Linked DNA regions of Caenorhabditis elegans. The protein of the gene in region 1 purifies or fractionates together with the protein of each later gene. This does not show direct contact. Each region holds a gene or a part of one and is shown on either strand. Other genes may lie near its edges.

Region 1 (11,593 bases):
TGGGACACTTGCTTAAGAAAAAGAATGTCAACATACCGTTGACCTTGTGACTTTCTGAACATCGCAGTGATGTGGGAAGAAGAACATGATTCAGATGTGACAATGTGTAGAACACAAACTGGACGCGTCTGGTGCCAAGTCGTTCCTCGCGGGCAATCAAATTGCGGATCAAACGTCGTCCAAAGTCCGTGTAGAATCCATCATTGCCAGGATTGCCTAGAACATGTGTAAACTTGATAATGTGGAGTGGAAATAGAACCAAATATGCCAACAAAAATGGTGAAATATTCATGTTGATTGATAGGTCTAAGATATGAAAGATAGACAAGTGCAAAAACGCCAAAACAGAAAATTGTGTTCATTGAATGTGAAAGTTCAAAGAAACATTAAAGGAGGACTAACAGTTCGGACGATTTTAATTGCATAGACCCAAAATGAGAACTAATAAACAAATTTCGTAATCAAACATCTCAAAAATTGAAAAAAAAATGTTATGGCCGTTCAAAATTTCGAACAACCTATTTTAGGAACCACTAAAACACAAATATTAGTTCCAAAGTGATCTGGAAAAAATTCAAATTGTATGACGTCACACATTACAGAATAAGTTGAAAATATGTTTATTTTGGCTACTTGATAACCTGTTGATTTTTAAAGAACTTTATAGTTAAGATTGATGAATAGTTTTTTTTGGTAGTAGCCAGCTTGCTTTTTGATGAAAATAAATAACTCGGCTCGAGGAATATATGCATGTTTTTTTAAATGTAAAGCATGACTTTGTCACACAAAAGTTGTTTTCTTTCATGTTCGTCCCAAATGAACTATTTAAAATTTACAACAATTACAATGTCCTCTCACAAACGAAAAAAAGATCTAACGAACTATTAGGGAAAATGTGTTACTAAAAGCAATTTACATGTTCTAAATTTGGTTGAATCGGATTTTCAAATAATTATCTTTTTGAAAGCCCATGAAAAAACATTATCTGGAATCATAAAAATAATGATTCGTTCATCCTTCTCTCCTTGATTTTCGATCGTCAAAATGTCTGGTGTCAGAGATGTTCCCATTATCTGTAATCAATTCATGTTTACATAAAAGAATACGAAATGAGCACCCCTACGCGGCAAAGAAGTGAACAAACACATTTATCATAAAATCGATTTTCTGCCCATCTTCAGTCTATTATTCCTCATTGTTAAGAAATAATATAAATTAAACGTGCTAGCATTTGAAAGGGCCATCATGAATTCAGATAATTCAAATCGACGATCATATCTATTCTTTTTTCCGAAAGTTCGTTATCGCACCGAAATTCAGAAAACTAATCAGATTTCTATTTTTGAATATGTCAGCAGAACATTATTTGCAACGTGGTGGCAACCAGTAAGTAATTTTTTATGTTCCTTTGCAAATTTTTGAAAATCTTACAGCCAATTGCAAGTCAAGAAACTACTACAATACGAGATACAACTACTTCTACTACTGCTGAACTGGAAACTGCTCCAGAAACTGCTCTAGAAGCTGTGGACGAACCAAAATGGGACCTGTAAGTTTTTCTTACCGACATTCTACTCCACCGTCCGCTAACTTCAACCCATTCCACATTTCTCTGTATATCAATCATATTCACTGAACCGCGAACTCTTCCGGTCACACGATCAATTGGAAATGAATCTATTTCGTTTTCTTTTGAAAAGCTCATAGTGAATACTGAAATTTGCCATATGGGGAAATTGTATTTAAAAAAAAAAATATAATAGAAGCAAGAAATTGTCAACATGTTAATAAAACATAATCTGCATTTTCAGATAGTTAATAAACTTAGAAAAAAAACGGTATTCTCAAAAATTTGTACGACTCTCAGTAACTTGCTAAATAAGTAAAAAGGCAACAAGTGTGGTAAGGTCGCGAGACTAGCCGGGGGCCGATTTGAAAAATGAGTAGGAGATGGTCTCTCTAGAGGGTGTCCGGTGCCGACGAGATAAATATTGGGCGAATTCACTTGGGGGCGTCGCCGCGGCATCTTGGCGGGGCTCACAATTTTTTCGATGCTCAGAGATCAATGGTGACATGCCGTGGCCAGTGAGAAAATTTGAACGAGGAAGCATGTGAAAAGTTGGATAATATAATTGGTACTTTAATTAGCATTCCAGAATTGTAAAGCATGACATGTGAAATATTGTTCTATTATGACGACTTATACTTCGGTTAATTTCAGTATTAGCAAAAAATCTGTCAAAAACGTAGAAAAATATTTGCACATATTTTGTCGAAACAGTTACGGTAGAGAGGAAAATGTATATACATAATGTCATTTAATGCTCTTCTGGATCTCGTCTGGTCTTAAAAGCATTGTCTGTCATGTATTTTTTGTAGGTTGAAATTGAAAATTGTCTTACTAAAATTTGTTATTTATTTCATAAATAATTACTTTTAAACCTCAACTTCACTCATAAGAACAGCAATGCTTATGAGGAAGTATTCGTCATAGTTTGGTGGTACTGATTGAAGCAATACAGACATTACAGACTCATCACTGTGACCAGCTGCACATTGCGCAACACGTTTGCAGTAGTGTGGCAAAGTTGCATCTGACATGCATTCCCAGTTTTATTTGATTTTTGTTCACGCTCCTGGTGTTAATTTTATTAGTTGTGATCGCAGAGCATGAGATTCTGCTCTTTTTTTGGTTTTTGGTTTCCCATACATTATTGTCGATTTTCGAGCGGAGTTGAGAATAAAACTTAGAAAAAAATTGCACTTTTTTCAATATATATAAGAAAGATTTCGCAATCTTTTCTGAAATATCAATATGAGTTTTTTCCCGGGAAATAAACAGCGAAACATGGAACACTGCATGTACACACCTTGTTTTTTTCCGCCTATCCGTCTAATTGCGCGGGAATAACTTTTCTTTGCTGACCCAAAGAGGTCAGCAAATGCGCTCCTCTGCCAACACCCTCCTGTTTTAGCACAGTCTCTCGCTAGCAACACTGCCTCCGCAACTTGCCTGTTTTGATGGTTTGATCTTTCTTTCATTTCCCCATGCCGCTCACTTGGATCTCTTCCTTCTTTTTCTCCAATTAAATCTCTCTGCTAGTGCTTTGTTATATATTTATCCAAATACTCGGATCTATCAATTCCAGAGTAATGGGGGATGCCAGCGAGTTGCAGTTTTTTGAAAAACTCGAGCCACCACCAGAAACAGAAGAACCAACACCAGTTTCCGGTAAGTTTTTTGTGTGATTTGAATTATTTTTATTAATAAAAGTTGATAGTGTCTTCAGGTGGTTACTTTTCAAACATTATTGGGCAAATATTCCGAAGCGATGGATCGCCGCAGCCAAACGGAGTTGTGCCTCCCACAGAAGAAAGACAGAACTTGGAGAGGACGGAGTCTGGAGGTAGATTTTCATCGACTAAAAATATATAACAATTATTTTGTGCATTTTTCGGAGAAACAAATTTTGCAATTCATTTCGATTCTGATGAATTGTTTGATTTTAATAACTCTATAATATAAAAACATCGGAAATTTTCTTATTATCTGATCGACAAACAATGATCCTCTATTCCAGAATCCCGAACATCCGAAGAAAGTGGCTTTCAAAGATCTTTAACCGATAAGTTCACAGGATTACTCAAATCAAAAGTTAACCCGCAGCTCAAAGACTACAACGACAGCAATTTCAGTAAGTATTTCATATTCTATAAGCACTCTGACGTCAATTCAAATTTTTTTAGAACAATACTGGATGCCTGACTCAACGGGAAGAGAGTGTTACCAGTGCGAAGAACGGTTCACAACTTTCCGACGACGTCATCATTGTCGACTTTGCGGACAGATTTTCTGTGCAAAATGTTGTAGTAGTCACATTGACGGAGCAGCTTTGGGATACATGGGCGAGCTCAGACTTTGTGATTACTGTGCTCGAAAGGTTCAACGACTTGCCGAAGAGGGAAAGCAGACGCCGACGACGTCGACGACAAGAAGTCAGACGCCAGTGAACAGCAGAAAAATTAGCTTTGATAGGAATACTGCACACAAGAATTCGGATACTGTGAGAACAGTTTCGAATGGTGAGATTTTCCGATTCCAAGAGGGCATTAGGATTCTTAGTTTAATTTTTTATTGTCTTTTTAAAAATGTATCTACGAGGCTTGAGCTTTCAAGAACACTGGCAGTTGTTCATATTTTCACAACGACATAACTCTATTAGTTTAGCTAAACACAAACATTCTACATAGAAATTAAAGACAAATAATTTCAGGAGCTATTTGGTCACTCTGCCCCCCAGAATCGTCGATGCCTCCGGAAATTACATCCCCACCTCAACTTGGAAGCCGCCGCAACTCGTTGGCTCAAAGTAGCAATGGTCCAGGAGTTCCGACAATTCTATCAGTTGCGGATCTCTGTGCATCAAACTCGGCTATGCTCACAAACAGTCATTCCCATCCAATGATCACCGAGGAAGAGGAATCGGGACCAGACTGGTTTCGAACAATGCATCCTGGAATGGACGGTGTTATCAACAATGAAGTGAGGAAGCTTAAATATTTAATTGTGGAAATAATTTATTATTTTGTTTGACTTTCAGACTTCCGACTCAGCTGATGTTTTTGCGTATGCAAATCTCGCTGGAGCGATAACCAACGAGTTTACAGAAATGATGGATGCCAGAGCTGCGGAGCCAACCTCAGCCACTACTGATCGTAAAATCACCTTTCCGTCCCTGTCACTTGATGAATCCGTTATGAACGCAGCGAAGGAAGAACAGCGGGACAATTTGGAAGAGTTGTTCCGCCGAAATACTGAACGAATTCTAGACGAAGTGATGAAACGAGAGTACATCCGAGAAGACAAATGGAGAGATCTAATTCTGAAGAGTGTCTATGAAGTAGTGGAGAATGTAACTGTGAACGTTCCAAGTGGAGACACAATGAATATTGCTGACTACGTACACGTCAAGAAAGTTCACAAGAAAGAAGGGAAAGTTGATTCGGAAATCATTTGGGGAGTGGCTTGCAGTAGAAGTTTAGTCTACAAAAGTTTGTCAGAAGAAGATGAAAGCAGCCATACGACCGAGTCAATTATGATTGTTAGCGGTTCAATTGAATATGAAAGAGTCTCAAACAAACTTTCATCTATTGAGCCGATTATTGTGCAAGAAGAGAAATTTTTAGAGAAGCAGGTGCGTATGTTCATGGAAATAGTCATTAACTGTGTGTGTGTCAGATTTAGTTGCTAATCTAAAAGTTGACAATATGAATAAGTACCACACGTCTGAATAAATGCACTTGTATTATACAACCATTGAAATCGAAACTAAATAGAATAAACAATTTTCCAGATTGATCGAATTGCCACCAAACGTGCTTCATTGATTCTAGTGGAAGGAGGAGTCTCGCATATCGCTGCTCAACTGCTTCACAAGCGTGGAATCAAAGTAGCGGTCAATGTGAAAATGAGTATATTACAACGTATTTCAAGAGCCACTGGAGCTGATATTGTCTCAAACTCAGATTCTCAGTTGGTTGAGCAAAATTTAGGATGTTGCCCGGAATTTCAACAACGGAATATGCAACAGGAGGACGGAAGGATCAAGACTTTGATGATCTTTGCTGATTGCCAAAAGGAAACTGGATGTACAGTGCTCTTGCATGGAGATGATTTGAAAGAATTAGTGGCCGTGAAACGTGTTGTGCAGTTCCTGGTCACTATTGTCTACTCTAATTACTTGGAGCAATCCTATCTAAATGCTTTTAATACTACAATTGCGAGGAGACAATCTGATTGCGTTGTTTGTGAAAAACGCCGTGCTATCGTTTACTCGCAGGGTGAAAAGGTTGATGGTTTATCAACATCGTTTCTCATATGTTTTTGTATTTTCAGACTGAATTTGAAAAGAATCTCTATGCGACGATGCTGTCAAGCTCACCAGTGATTGAATTTGAGCCACCACTTTTGGAGACTGCAACCGGGAGGTGAGTGAAAAGAGCGCCTCATAAAAATCTGCAAACACGGTCACGTCAGAGTGCACACTGCGGGCAATTTATGAAATAATCATATTAAAGCAATTGTAAAAGTTTTGCCTAACACAACACTAAACCTAGCCTAACATAGAAGTTTTTTAAAAATATATTTCTAGCATGAATATCTAATCAGTTAAAAAGATTAGTTTACAATTCATGAAAACGACTTCTATTCATAAAAATATTTTTCAAAAACATGCATAATTTTTCAACATAGATTCAAAATTAAATTTAAAAAAACACCAGAAAAATTTATTCACAAATTTCAGGGAATGTCCGCTCATTGCCTACTTCAAGCAACCACTGTATAAACTTTTAAAGCCTGGCGATGTTGAGCTCATCAAGCAAGGATACGAAGAAGATATTGTACCTATCCCAAAGAAAGAACCACTTCTGGTAGACCGTCGACACGCTTTTGCTCAATGTAATCGTGGTGCGATCCTTGACAATGTGGCAAGATCTTTCCGCCTTTTTGGAGGAATCAATTTTCGGCGACGAACTGCTCAAATTGTGAAGCATAGAAAAATTGTGGAGACCGAGAAGCAGCCATTCCGTGCAAAGGATGTTTTAGATCCAAGAGTTCATCAGACACTTGCTGTCCTTTTTGGCTCGTTTTCTCGAAAGTCACCCAACGCTCCGTACTTTTGTGTACGTCCGTGGGTGGTAAGTATGCAGTACTACAAGGACCATGATATGACAATCGGAGAGTTTCTTGTGAAGTTCTGTTTTAATCGTAGTTATGAATGTCCGTCATCAAACTGTGAGGTACCTATGCTGGATCATTCAAGAAAGTTGGTTTATGGAAAAGTTTGCGTAGAAATTTCAACTCAAACTGTGAACGAAGCAGAAAACGCCATAGAATCAGAACAGCAGAAGAGCATCATGACATGGCGAAATTGTGGAAAGTAAGAACATTATTTTCGCTTTTATTAAACTTTTTTTTTAAATTTCGTTATTTTCAGATGCAACTGTTCATCACAAATGGTGAAATTTGACAAAGCAATCTGGCATCTGTCGTTTGCAAAATTCTTAGAGTACATTGGAAATTCGTGCTTCACCACCGACACAATCTACCCAATAACTAATCAGAATCAATGCTCGCATTGCTTTTTCCATGAAAAGTTGTACTTTTTTGCAATGGATAATTTGGTGACAACATTCAAAGTAATAGCGGTAAGTTTTGTTCAACAAAAATTGAAGAAACAGAAACATACTAAAAATACAAAGTATTTAATTTTTAAATAGTTTTAATGTTTGAGAAGCGATTTTTTATTTTAATATAAGCATACTTTATAAAACTTTATAAAATCAGCAAAGCCTTATATTTTCAGATACGCCCCTACAGTGTTGTCTTCTCGCCCATCATTTGCAGCGTCAAGGTTTTGAAAGTGAGCAGAAAAGAGCTCTCGGACGATGTCAGCAGGATAGCCACTCTTGCGCTGACTGCTTGTGAGGACACCAACAAACAGCTGGCAGAACTTGATGAGGAAGTTCAGATCACTCCGATAGTTGTCAAACTGGCTGGTGCAATCCGGAACACAATGGCATTGGCAAGCGAGAGCAGGATGTTTGCTAAAAACATTCTCTCTGGTGATGAGGATCTTATCCGGTCAAATGATCGGTTGTACAGAGAAGTAACTGGCACATTTATGAAAGTGAGAGAAGTAACATACAATCTGATTGCTCTTTGGAATGAGAATTGTGCAGCAATTAAGTATCCCAAGAGAACTCCAGAAGATATTCAAGAGATTGCCACACTTCAAAAACTGGAAAATCCGTTTCCCTCTCATCTTCACCTTGCCATCAAGCTACAACCCAGACTTGGAGTAGTGGTACGAGATATTCAAGACACTCGAGGAAACTTCAAGCCAGATATTGGGAGTATCATTGCATACGCATTGTCTGCAGTTGACTACAATAAGATCCCTGAGGCAGCTGACACTGTTTCAATGGACTCGGCTAGCTCTTCTCTGAAATTTTCACAGATGGATGATGGGGAAAACCTCGCTTCTAGTCAACACTTGGAGGTGGAATTTGAGGATGAATCTGCGTCATACTATGTGAAAGTAAGTCTGCTATATATTATGAGAAAATTCCCTTGTAATCTCACCCTCAATTTTTTTTGTTTTTGTATATTGGAGCCTTTATTTTCAGATGCCTCATTAAAAAGTGCAACATTTTCAATTGGTCTAGGGCACATATAGAATATTAAATAAAGTTGTTATTACGTCTAGACGCTGAAAATAGATGTAATGTAAAAAAATGGGCCTTAAAATGTGACAAAATTATATCAATTTTTTCAGATGCTGTACGCCGAGAAATTCCGAAAACTTCGTGAACTTCTCATTGCAGAAGGAGAAGAGACTTTTATCCGTTCCCTCTCCAACAGCACTTTCTGGACACCACAAGGTGGAAAATCCGGCTCATTTTTCTACCGCACTCAAGATGATCGATTTGTGGTGAAGCAAATGTCACGGTTTGAGATTCAGTCATTTGTAAAGTTTGCCCCCAACTATTTTGATTATCTGACAACGTCGGCGACCGAAAGCAAATTGACGACCCTGTGCAAAGTATATGGAGTGTTTAGAATAGGATACAAGAGCAAGACGACTACATTGAAAGTTGACATTCTTGTAATGGAGTACCTGTTTTACAATCACAATGTTAGCCAAGTCTGGGACCTGAAGGGCTCTCTTCGGAATAGGTGGGTTATAGGTATATACTGATAATAATAGTACAAATAACCAAATTTTCCCGGTTGTTGTATTTAGATAATTTCTGACGTACTTTGCTTTTAAGTGTATTATGACTAATTGATCATACATTTTTTCTTTGTGTTTTTAAAGATCATATGACGTTTTTTTAGACTCGCATCGACTGGAAAAAGCGCCAACGAGATGGTTCTTTTGGACGAAAACTTTGTGAAAGACCTCTGGAATCAGCAGCTCTATGTGCTGCCGCACTCAAAAGCGGCCATGAATCAAGCGATCAGCAATGACAGCCACTTCCTGAGCTCTCAATACATCATGGACTACTCGCTTCTGGTTGGTGTCGACGATGACAACGGAGAATTGATTCTGGGCATTGTTGACTACATGAGAACGTATACGTTGGATAAGGTCAGTGTTTGAACGTTTAACTTTGCGATAAACTCTGATTGATTTCTGGAATGAACATGACTTTTTGATGAGAAGTTTATATTGACGTAGAGCTAGGTAGAAAATTGACAAAAAGATAGAATAGATATCGACTTATTTTCTACCGTTTAAGTCTGAAAATAAAATCAATCCTTTAAATTTCCCATACAGTCACTTATTTTGAATAAACAATTTTCAGAAACTCGAATCATGGGTGAAAATCGTTGCCATTCCCGGAGCACACTTGCCAACAATTCTGAGTCCGGAAATGTATTGTGCCAGATTCTCGGAAGCCATCGACTCGTACTTTCCGGTTGTACCTGATCAGTGGACTGGACTCGGATCAATTAGGTCTTATTAATGTATAATACCCGGTTTTCTTGTGTAAAAACCTGTTTTTTTAGATTAATTATTTTTCTAATTTTTATGTTCAATTATTTATGTATGATGGCTATCACTTTCTCAGCTTTTTGCCCGGCAGCCTCTCCCCGTCTACCAATTCACTTGTTGTGATTCTCAACAACCGGGTTGAATTTTATTGTGTACAGTTTGTGTTTATTCCCGTGGCAGCCTTATTAGTTTGAAATCATTGATGCTTTGATACTGGTCTAACTTAATTTCTGTGATTCACTTCTTTCTCGTATTCATATTTGTTGAATGAAATTATTTTATTATCGAGATTTAAATGTTTCACTTCAAAATAGAAATAGAAAATGAATACACAAATGATAACCCAACAAAGCAATTGACACGTGATTTTGGTGAAGATCATAATATATGTTTGAACAATTTCAGAGATTCATAGAATCTCTAGAAACCGTATGAAAAGTTTCAGAAAAGCTAATTACATGGCGATGAATACCGGTAAAAACTGTTTGTAATTGAAGAATACTCATATGCTACTCGCAACCGGATTCCTATTGAAAAGTCGTATTCTATGATCATGAAGCAAGGGTAATCTCGTCGATTTTGGCCTCCACAATTGCCGAATCCGCTGATAAAATGACGAGCGAAACTCTTCCGACGACCCCATGTATACAAAAAAGTTGGCCGTCGCATTGATAACCACCAAAAAATTTCCAATGTCAATGAGCACTGCTTCTGTTTCAAATGCCATATTACTGAAAGAAGAAAAGAAGATTATACGGATTATATGATGAATACCGCTTACAACTTGAGCATTTCAAAAACATTGACTAGAAGTGATGTCAAATTGCAACAGAGAAATAGGAGAACCACTAGAAGAAGTACAACCGGATTATTGCCCCCGTCATCTTCGCATTCTGAAAAAAAGAAAATAGTAATCATTTTTAGGCAGAGATTTTCGCAAGAAAAATAGTTTCTAGAATAGAATTCACTTTGAGTTTTTCCAAAAATAATTTAACTGGAGGCTGAAACACATGCAAAACAATTTGAAGAACACCTTTTGGTTGGGTTTTCTCATTTCAAAAAACAGACCAAAAGCAGAACAACTCTGTGGCCTAACATCATTATTTCCAAGCCAGACATATTTATCAACGTGGTCCCCTATTCTTTTTCGTTAAAAAAACAACACAATTTCACATTTAAGACAGCTTGAGATGATTATAAAAACACTCAGATGAGGCGCAAACACAATCTATGAAAATGTATAATTCAGTTATAAATGGGAGACACAACGTCTCAGCGGCATAAAGAACTAGATAAACTTGCATCGGATTACCAATTCTATTTTCAGAATTGTAGGAAAAAATAAACGGTTATTTTCCTTATTTCTCACCTTCTTTCTCTGCCTTGTCCATGTGCATTGTTTCGTTTTTCCGACGAAGCATTACAATGATCGAAACAGTTAAAAACGTGAGAAGTACAAATGGGAGAAATGCCATTGAAAGTGCATAAAGATATCCTCTGAACAAGTTTTTTACATTGAATAGAAGTTTGAAATACCAGTCCAAGTTACTTACTTATACACAATGACATATGTTTCACTGACCCTCATTTCAGTAGGGCATAACTCAAAAAGTGTGTAATTGTCCGGGTGAAGACATTCAATAGCCTGCAACAAAATGGATTCTGATTCTATTCGAATTTCAATTGTTGTACCTGCAAATCTCCAAATTGAACAATATTATAGCCGGCCACCGAAATGACGACAAGCGCGAGAACCCGTGGAGCCCATGTGCTGCGTTTTGGCTCGCATTTTGTTCCACTGGACGATTAAGTTTGAATGGTTTGATTAATGAAATGAGGAACTTACCAATATACAGAATAGAAACAGTCAAATGCAGCCAAAACTGTGATATATACACTGAGCATCTGAAAAATCGGGATGTTAGAATCAACAATGTGTTAAGAAATTAACTCGAATCCGGACGTTTTGAAAAAATATTTGATACGATCGTTCATGTATAATTTGGGGGGGGGGGGCAGATAGCTCAGTT
Region 2 (9,968 bases), on another chromosome or scaffold:
AAAGTAATAAAGTTCATCAAGTTTCTTCACATTGTCTGAGAACTTAAAATTGTTTTTTTTTAATTTTCAGGAGCAATCCTATCACAATCAATGGGACAATTCAATATCTGAAAATCAATTTCATTGAATTTTCCATTCAGTTATCTACGTGGTCTTCAAATGTGCAATTGAATAATTGGAGAGATTTTATGAATTTGAAGTATGTGAAACCCAGGGATAATTCAACTGACGAATCGAAGACCAAGATGACAATTTCACCAGTTAATTCTCCAAAAAAGAAGCCAATGTATTCAATGCTGCACTCATTACAGGAGAACCTCTTGATTAATAGAACTTTCCAAAATTATAACTTAAGTTATAATTGAATTATAATTTTAAAAATTGTCAAGATTTAATATTGTAAGTATTTATTTGTGTACAATAAATGTTTGGAATATTTTTATTATTTTAAGACATACGTCCTCTAAAAGTAGACATCTCACCCTTCTACCACCGATATATTCCCGGTGGCCCTTCTTCAAGAGCCCTTCACGCGCCTTAGAATTTTTTAAAGTTTTTCCGAGGCTTTTTCTGCTGAGCAGCAGGTATCAGTGTCCCGCCCGTGAAGAGAACTGGATGTAGTAATAAATAATAAATAAATATGAGTATAGGCTACACATGTACTTGATGTACAGCAGCGTATCCTCAAAAGTCAAAGCTTTTTATACATTTATTGTGTGAAGCTTTTTATGAAAAAAAAATACAATTGCAAAACGCAAGCATTCAGAACTGAACTGAGGACACTTTCAAATTTTAATAGTTAGTTTTATTTGAATTTCAATGCAAAAGAATGGTTCATTATACTAGGCTTAGTGATGTAGGTTTTAAAATTTTTTGAGCGATCAAGCTTTTCGCATGTTGAAAATGCATTTCTTTCCAGAATACGGACGAATCTCTGAAGAAGTTTCAGGAGCCAAAATGGTCAATTCGAATATTTATTTTTATAGCTCTTTTAATTTCTTTTTCAATTTTACTAACAGTTTCCTACAAATCAATGATGGTAAGTAAAATAAATAAATAAAACTTGGAAAAATCAGAACTTTTCGATATTTTCCAAAATAAACTTCACTAAAACGTAGGCTGAAAATCAGAAAAAATATCTGAAAAATAATAAAAAATTTTGAAATTAAAGTTCTTGTGTCCACCAATTAGCAATGTTAGCCACGCCCCGCGAACCACTGATTGACCGATTTCTTTCTCATAATTTCATAAATTTCAGATTCCGAACAAATTTATCGTGAGATTATCTGGAAAAGAGCGCGCTCCTCTGAAGCATATAACAAGAAGCATCACGAAATTCGCAGATTATTATTTTACAGAGTATGCAAAACCTACTTATGTTTTGAAATTAAAAAAAAAACTATTCAGATCTGAAAGTCGATATTTAAATTGTGCTAGACTAATCGACGGAGATGTGGAGTCCATTGACACATATGTTAATAATGGAAGAATGAAGTTAGATGAAGAGAAATTATTTCAACTTTCAATGGATTGTGATTCAATTCAAAATCGTATTTTTCGAGATATGCCTCCATTTGAAAAATTGAAAAGACCTATTGCATTTGTTCGAAATATCTATGGAATATATGAATTACAAGAGGTTTTTCTATCCATTTCATATCACCCGGATAACTATTTCTGTTATGCAATGGATTCAAAAAGTAGTGAAAAATTGAAGAAATCTATGAGAATAATGGCTGATTGCTTTGAAAATGTGATTGTGTTGGATAAAGAATATGATATGGATAGAGCTGGTCATAAACAAGATGCTGCACATTTTGATTGTTTAAAACAAATTCTTGATGAACATTGGAGTCATGCCATTACATTACAGGTAAAAAAATATTTTCTTGAAATTCTGAATTGTTCTTCTTTTCAGTTTTCTTTCTTTAAAAATATTATTTTCAGAACTTCGACTTGATAATCAAATCTCCTAAACAACTATCTGATCTCAGTGAAATTCTAAATTACACCAGTATCATGGGTTTTGACTATGGATTTACAAGTAGATATCGAACATTTGAAGATTGGACTCCAGCTGGAATGAAACTTTTCAAAAATGGTTTTCCTTTTTTCATGTGGGCTTATAATTTTGATAGACTACATTTATTCATATAGAGAATAGTACAAAATAGAGATGAGAAAACATTTCCTAAAAGTACCAAAACTTCTTTGAGCCGACTGAATTATTTCTTAAAAATAAAAAAATAAATTTTAAAAAACCATTCCAAAGGCTGATGCCGCCTAGACTTTTATGCTTTTTTTCTTTTTGCACATTACTTAAATTTTAGGATTTATAGTGCAAAACGTCTTTAATTAAACCAGTCTCACAAAAAGTACAAAATATTTTCTAATCGAACAGCACGAACAGGTTTGCGTCTTTAAGGTCCTGTAGACTTGAGATGCTACAGTACTCCTTGCTTGGAGGCCTTTGAGACGAGGTGCCGCATTCTTATATCGAAAAATTACATGACAGAGTAACATAATTTTATTTTCAGAACAAAGTGTACCTCTGGAAATACTCCACAAAAAACTAAAAATTCGAAAAAGTTTAAACGAAGTAATCCTTTCGAAGGTATTTGTCAAGTCTTTATTTGATAAAGTGAATCTGCAAAATGTAATCAAAAGATTTGATGATAGAACGGTAATGTTCTACTCTTGAAAACGAGAATAATATTCAATTTCAGCTTTTTGGGGTTGACGAAATGATGGTTATGACACTTTTTGAAAACTATTTGGGATTAGATGGGCAAATGGAATCTAATTGTACCGTGGCAAAGGAAGATATATTAACACGGTTTGTATAGGATAGGCATGCCTTCATTTGTTTGTGCCTGCCTACCTCATGTCTGCATGTCACCTATTTTTTTGCTCTTTATTTGACTCTCTTGAAAATTCTAATGATAATAATTTCCAAGTGTACCAAGTGCAGAATCAGGCTCGTGTAGGTCACCTTGAAGGCAGGCTTACATTGCAAATAGAAAACTGAAAATTACAGTCAAACTCATTGGCATCTTGAACAATCCGACGGACTATATCAAGATTGTAAATCCAAGTGGTTAAGGCATTCAATATGTGTAATTGGAGTCGAATTTCTACAAGAACTTTCAAAAAGTCCGATGGTTATTGGTGATTTTTGAACATTCATGTTTATAAATAAATTGATTTTTCAGCAAACAAAGTGACCGCCAACTTCGATTTTGGAACGATAATTTGCGTTCGTGAAATGATAAAAACCAATAAAACAGGAAATAATCCAGATTCTCAATGGCTTTCCTACTTTCCACAGTTTCGTGAGATGTTGTTGAAAGCTAATGGAACTTATTACAAGAATAGTTTTCAATGTTGATCAAGTTTTTTAAAGAAAATTTTGTTTATTATTTTCAAATTTTTCACTAAACAGTTTTCCTCTGAAAATCATGTTATCTGCATTTTAAATTGAATTCAAATGAAAATTCAACTAATTCATCTGCTGAAAATTTAGAATAACGAACAATCAAGAGATTTTTGAAAAGATGATGTAAAATTACATTCAAATACCAGTAAACCAAAATTTAGAAACAGGGAAATATGAAAATGGAGAAACGGAAACTACGCTTGCACATAAACTCAAACAAAACATTTTCACTTTTTCTTATTGCTCAATGAGTCGTAAACAGCAAGTGCTTGAGAAACCATACTTCCTGGATCACTGAGATTTGCCGGAAGAACAACAGTATTTGATTCCTTGGCAAGATTTCCAAAAGCTCCAACATATTGCTCTGCAACGGTCAATCCAGCAGCATTTGCACCTCCATCTTTCTCAAGAGCCAATGCAATACGTTCAATAGCTTTGGCACGAGATTCGGCTTTAAGGATTACTGCTTCTGCTTCTCCCTTTGCTACATTGATACGTTCGGCTTGAACAGCCTCAGACGCCAAAATAGCTGATTTCTTGTCTCCTTCGGCCCTGGAAATGTTTAAATTTAGAATATTTTTACAACTCTCACGATGTTACTGAATGAAATGTGTAATTGGAAAAATATTATACCTATTAATGGCAGCTTCTCTGATTCCTTCTGATTCCAAAATCGCGGCTCTTTTCTTTCTCTCAGCTTCAACTTGCATTTGCATAGCTTCTTGAATTTTTGATGGCATCTGCATATCTCTGATTTCGTATCGCATACATTGAATTCCCCAAGGTGCTGATGCTTTGTTGATTGCAAATACAATATTTTCATTGAGCAATTCCCTCTCCTTGAATACTGTATCCAAATTGATTTTTCCAACTTCACTTCTCATCGTTGTCTGCGCTAATTGAGTTACTGCGAATTCTGGGTCATCGACTCCGTACGATGCCTGCAATTTACAAAGAAGTGTTATTTTTCAATTACAGGCGAATCAAAAAACAGGCGTCACATGCCTTGTAGGGATCGAAAACACGCAAATAAAGAACTCCGTCGAGCCTGAGTTGTACATTGTCAATTGTAATGGCTCCTTGCTCAGGAATCTCAATTGCAATTTCACGAAGATTTTGAACGAATTTGATTTTATCAATGATAGGCAATAAGAAGTTGAGTCCCTGAAAAAGTTGGTTTATTAATTACCTTTTAGGAAATGTTACCGGTTCAAGAATCTTGTAGAACTTTCCCATTCTTTCTACAACCCACGCTTCTTGCTGTGGAACAAAATTGATGACAGTATTATGTGCAGCATGGGCCTGTCGTGATGATGTCACAGCTAATGGGAGCGTTGAACTTCTAAATAATATAATTGCCCCCCTCACAATAATTTAATTTATCGGCCTACCTTAGAAGAGCTGACGAATTCATTAAAAGTCGATTAGTTAGCGCCATTTTCTGTAAAATCATTTTTAATGATGCAATGCAATTTCGAAAGATTCAGCAGTTTAAATAATGTATTAGTGGGAGGAGGATGGCAGAAAAGTATTTCGTCATGGTGGTGGCCGAGTGGGAGAGATAGATTAAAAATATGCACATTTACATCAGGACTGAGAGATTTTAATATAAACACCACTATTCTTCAATTTTTAAGAAACGAAACGTTCACAAAGTATAAAAATATAAAGAATAAAAATACAATTAATTTAAAATAATGTCTGTGTAGATTTACGGTAAACAACGCTCCCATATGAAAGACGGAGTGTCGTCACCCGTTTCCACGTTTTCGCATTCAAAGAAAACATGTTTCATGTATTCTATCACTATTGTTGTATCTCTTATTGATTTTTTTGTTTTCATGCGTCGTTCTTCTTTTTCATATTTTTTTTCCACAACAAACTTCATTCCCTTTTCAGCTCTCCAAAATGGTGGATAGTCTATTGAGTATGGACATCTACGAGAGTTTCAACTTGTACTCACACCCAGAAAAATTCTTCTTAGAACCAACCGATCTCGGCGGTGGTGCTGCGTCGAAACATTATCTCGAAATCGATAGACACACAAATGTGATGAAAATTATTGGTAAGTCTGACTTTTGGTCTGATCTAAATATAAATTTATAATTACAGATTCACGCAAGCAGCGAGTTCCAATTGCTGATACGGACATCAAGTTTATTTATGGGATTTTGGGAACAATTAAACTAGTCTCAGGATATGCTTTGATCGTAATAACAAAGGCTTCTTTGATCGGACAAGTTAATAATCACAACATCTGGACTATTCAAGATGCCGAGATTATTCCTTACAAGAAAACAACACTTCACTTGACTGAGAAACAAATTAGATATAATAGATTATTCACTGATATGCTCACTCATGTGCTGTCTATTGGCGGATTCTACTACTCGACGACTCTTGACATCTCACGCACATTTCAATGGCTTCAGGAGAACGCTGTTCCTTTGTTCAAAACAAGAAGTATGTTGGACAGAGCCAGCGAACGTTTCATATGGAATGGACATCTACTGTCACAGATCCGGCAGGTCCCTGGTGCAGAAAGATACACATTGCCCGTTATTCATGGTTTTATTGGCCAGAATCGTGTGAATGTGAATGGAAAAGAGATTAAATTGACTATCATATCCAGAAGAAGCATTTATCGGTAATTTTTTTTACTTAAAAATGTTTTAAATAAATTTGTAATAATTAAAAAAACGTTTATTTCGATTTTCTGGACAAAAAATTAATACTTCTAACAACGAGCTCGCTTTTCACAAAAATGTTTTGTCTGAATCCAAGATATATTAGTTTTAAATAATTATTAACCTTTTTAGTACGAATTTCATGTTTTTTCATAGTTTTCTCTGAAAAAAAAACTATTAGTATAATTCAATTTTTCAGTGCTGGCGTCCGTTTCTATAAACGTGGAGTCGACGTAGATGGTCATGCAGCAAACTTTGTTGAAACAGAACAAATCGTTGAATACACGAATCCTGACAAGCACCTGACTTCGTTTGTGCAATTGAGAGGTTCTATTCCTCTTCTCTGGACTCAAAAACCAAATCTACGTTGGCAACCGATGCCTACACTGAAACCAACAGATGACCAGCTTGCTGCTTTCAATCGAGCTTTTTCGTGGCACAAGCAACACTATGGTGGTAAACATGTGATTGTAAATCTTGTAAATCAAAAAGGAAGAGAGAAAAAAGTTGGAGGAGAACTGGAGAGAATATCACGACAAGCAAATATCGAATTTGTTCGTTACCATCAATTTGATTTTCACAAAGAATGTCATTCTATGCAATGGCACCGAATTGATTTGTTGCGGGAGCAGTTAAGCCAAGAAATTTCGAGTTTTGGATATTTTTACTTGTCCCCGAATAGTATGGAAACAAGTCGATTCCAACGTGGATTTTTCCGTACGAATTGCATGGATTGTCTAGATCGTACCAATGTGGTTCAGTCGATGTTGGCACGTGAATCACTCACCGAACAACTTCGAATGCTTGGAATTTTATATTCAGAGCAGAAAGTTCAAGATATTCCACTTCTTGAAGATGCATTCAAACAAAGTGAGTTTAATCAAAGTTATTTTTTTGAAAAACGAAAATCGTTTGAAATCGAAGGTTGATTTTTTAGAAGATCAATAACTGACAATGAAAAAAATATGTAAAGTTTACAACTTTATTCCAAAAAAACTCAATATTTTGATCTGAATTCGCAGATTCATGAGTGTGTCAGTATATCAATCATTTTCGCTCACTTATTTTTCAAAAAAAAATGGGCAAATACTGTTTTACTACTTGATTTTTTACTACGTATCTCTTTTACTACAAGATCTCTTTTACTACGGAATCTCTTTTACTACGAATTCCGCATTTAGATCTTTCACTACAATTGGCTCTTTCACTACGTGTTCTCTTTTACTACGATTTGATCACATAGATCTTTTACTACGGAAAACACTTTTTTACTACCTTATCTTTTACTACGTGGATGTTTTACTACGTTTTACTCTTTTGCTACGGACATATTTTTACTACGTGGAGGGGTACTGTTAGGTTACTGTAGTGGTATTGTGTAAATAACAGTTTTCAGATTATATACTATAGTTTTTTTTAATTGCTAGAAATATATTCACTAGGAAAAATTTTTTACTAAATACAATGGCAGGGATTATATTTTTAACTATGTTGCGTAATTTTTACTACGAATTAATAATCAATATTTATAGTATAAGCTAGATATAAACAAATGCATGAATATTTTCTAAAAATATATAGGTCACAATTGAAGTTTGTGCTCAAGTAGTTCTAGTAAATTTCAGTTTTTTTGGATACTGAGATTGAGTTAGTGGAGGGATCCTGTTGAGTTACTGTAGTGATACTGTTGTTGGAGTACTTAACTTTTTTCGCGTAACCAAAAAATTAGTTCCATACCGGTTGATGTATAAGTTTTAAAAATGTAATAAACAACTTGCGGTTCGGTCAGTTATCTGTCAGATGTTTGAAATTTTGACTTCAACTGAAATTTTGGAACTTTTGATCAAAAATTTGTTTTTTTCTGGATTTATCAAATCTTGTATAAAATAAGCAGTTTATTGTTTTCTATCATCTTGAATGTTCATATCACGATTTTAGATTAAAACAACAGAGATAAGTTACCGAAAGTGTGTTCACAAAACTTATTGACTCCGAGTACCGATAACTCCGCGAAAAGAATTTGGTAAAAAATGTTCAACTGACAAATTGTAGACCATGCTATATTCAACAACTTTGTAGTTGAAATCTTTTTGACACGACCGAGATAAGAGTGTTTAGCGAGACTGCATTCTCAAACGTATCGGACCTACATTTTTCTTTTTCAGAAAATCTTTTGAGAAACATTTATAGAGGATTTTGCAAATGTCATGAATGTTTCTGGAATTTTTACAAGTTTTACAAGAGAGCAAGCTCATTTCATAGTGAATAAATTTCTACAGTAACCTAACAGTATCCCTCCACGTAGTAAAAATATGTCCGTAGCAAAAGAGTAAAACGTAGTAAAACATCCACGTAGTAAAAGATAAGGTAGTAAAAAAGTGTTTTCCGTAGTAAAAGATCTATGTGATCAAATCGTAGTAAAAGAGAACACGTAGTAAAAGAGCCAATTGTAGTAAAAGATCTAAATGCGGAATTCGTAGTAAAAGAGATTCCGTAGTAAAAGAGATCTTGTAGTAAAAGAGATACGTAGTAAAAAATCAAGTAGTAAAACAGTATTTGCCAAAAAAAAATGCAAAAAATAACATTATTGCCACAAACACGAAAAAAAACCAAAAAATGGAAAATCTACACCCCTGGTCATCTTGTCAGAGCATAGATTATTTTAAAGTATAGTTTCAAATACCAATTACTTCTATTGAAATATGTTTCAGTGTGGGCAGATAATGGTGATGAATGTAGTCGTCAATATGCTGGAACAGGCGCATTGAAAGCAGATTTCACTCGTCACGGAAGACGGACATATGTTGGAGCAATGAAAGACGGTGTCAATGCAGTGTCCCGTTACGTACGAAATAATTTTGGAGATGGATACCGTCAAGATTCAATTGATCTCTTCCTTGGTAACTTCCTAGTCGATTCGTCAGATCTTCCTGTTTCGCTGGAATCTTCGATTCTATCAACGGATCAGAATGGTCTTGCCCTTATTGCCGCGTTGTTTGCCATGTCAATGACAATTCTTTGTCTTTTGGTTGCAGGTACTATATTAATCACTTACTATTGCACACGATACTCGATAATATTCCGAATCCTTCAAAAAAAAAACATTTTTTCAGACAACTTCACCGCAACAATCTTCTGGATGGTCATTTTCTTTGTCTGTATGATGTTCATATTTTTGAACGGCGAAGAATTTGTAAATGCTCCGAAGCTCAAACTGGACTAATGCCATATCTGTCCGAAAACCGTTCATTCCTACAATCAAAGTTGCACCCCTTTTTTGTGTATTTATTTTTTCGCGTTGTAGAAAGAGAGAGTTTATTTATTGTAGATGAAGTTTGTACTAACAAGTTTATTATGCAGAGAGAACAACTATTTTCAGTAATACATTTTTGGCACTGTAACACAGTCAAATTTCTTTGGTTTTGTTCTTCAACACACATTATGAAGTGTGAAGAAAAAACAAAAATAAAAATTGAATGAGACCCATTTGGTAGGGGGGAGAGAACGAAACGACGCAGAGAAGAAAGATGGGTAAGATGCAGAGGAAATGAATTGACTGGGATCAGATGGGAATGATACAAACGGGAGGAGTTTTACATCGGGAGGATGTCATTAAAAGTTGACGGAAAAAAGTGATAAAATATACTTTAAATATTCAGGAACATTTCTACTTTTTCTTCTCGAATGATGAAGATGGTGTCACGGGATCTTTCTGAATAATACAAATAGATTTAGTTGATACTAAAATTGAATTCTCACCGAAACAATAGGTTCCATAGCTTCAACAATACTATCAAGACCAAGAAGGCATCCTTCGTCGGCACCAGAATATGCAAGATCCTAAA

The links.
Region 2: the proteins of ppk-3 (region 1) and sacm-1L fractionate together in Caenorhabditis elegans (co-fractionation; one large-scale study listed by BioGRID). This does not show direct contact.

What each region holds. Positions count from the first base shown.
Region 1 is NC_003284.9:12,967,204-12,978,796, reverse strand, and holds ppk-3 (1-phosphatidylinositol-3-phosphate 5-kinase), read left to right. Parts: upstream 1-3,153; coding exon 3,154-3,232; intron 3,233-3,281; coding exon 3,282-3,407; intron 3,408-3,581; coding exon 3,582-3,695; intron 3,696-3,747; coding exon 3,748-4,083; intron 4,084-4,274; coding exon 4,275-4,543; intron 4,544-4,601; coding exon 4,602-5,195; intron 5,196-5,354; coding exon 5,355-5,849; intron 5,850-5,896; coding exon 5,897-5,988; intron 5,989-6,305; coding exon 6,306-6,941; intron 6,942-6,998; coding exon 6,999-7,209; intron 7,210-7,367; coding exon 7,368-8,102; intron 8,103-8,339; coding exon 8,340-8,740; intron 8,741-8,902; coding exon 8,903-9,155; intron 9,156-9,372; coding exon 9,373-9,534; 3' UTR 9,535-9,847; downstream 9,848-11,593. Other genes in the region: F11C1.4 (Lipid droplet-associated hydrolase), read right to left, coding at 37-292; F11C1.9 (uncharacterized protein), read left to right, coding at 1,246-1,386, 1,434-1,553; F11C1.10 (Photosystem reaction center subunit H), read right to left, coding at 945-1,073, 1,565-1,705; frpr-2 (G-protein coupled receptors family 1 profile domain-containing protein), read right to left, coding at 10,066-10,294, 10,345-10,456, 10,933-11,060, 11,117-11,208, 11,256-11,361, 11,410-11,468.
Region 2 is NC_003279.8:9,483,153-9,493,120, forward strand, and holds sacm-1L (Phosphatidylinositol-3-phosphatase SAC1), read left to right. Parts: upstream 1-5,335; 5' UTR 5,336-5,344; coding exon 5,345-5,501; intron 5,502-5,548; coding exon 5,549-6,083; intron 6,084-6,322; coding exon 6,323-6,993; intron 6,994-8,834; coding exon 8,835-9,158; intron 9,159-9,236; coding exon 9,237-9,346; 3' UTR 9,347-9,468; downstream 9,469-9,968. Other genes in the region: F30A10.15 (uncharacterized protein), read left to right, coding at 71-365; gly-21 (GLYcosylation related), read left to right, coding at 830-856, 920-1,039, 1,259-1,359, 1,408-1,873, 1,948-2,101, 2,538-2,683, 2,727-2,836, 3,038-3,168 and 1 more; Stomatin-like protein stl-1, read right to left, coding at 3,664-3,988, 4,070-4,377, 4,442-4,600, 4,643-4,778, 4,828-4,874; F30A10.3 (Kinase), read right to left, coding at 9,791-9,835, 9,883-9,963.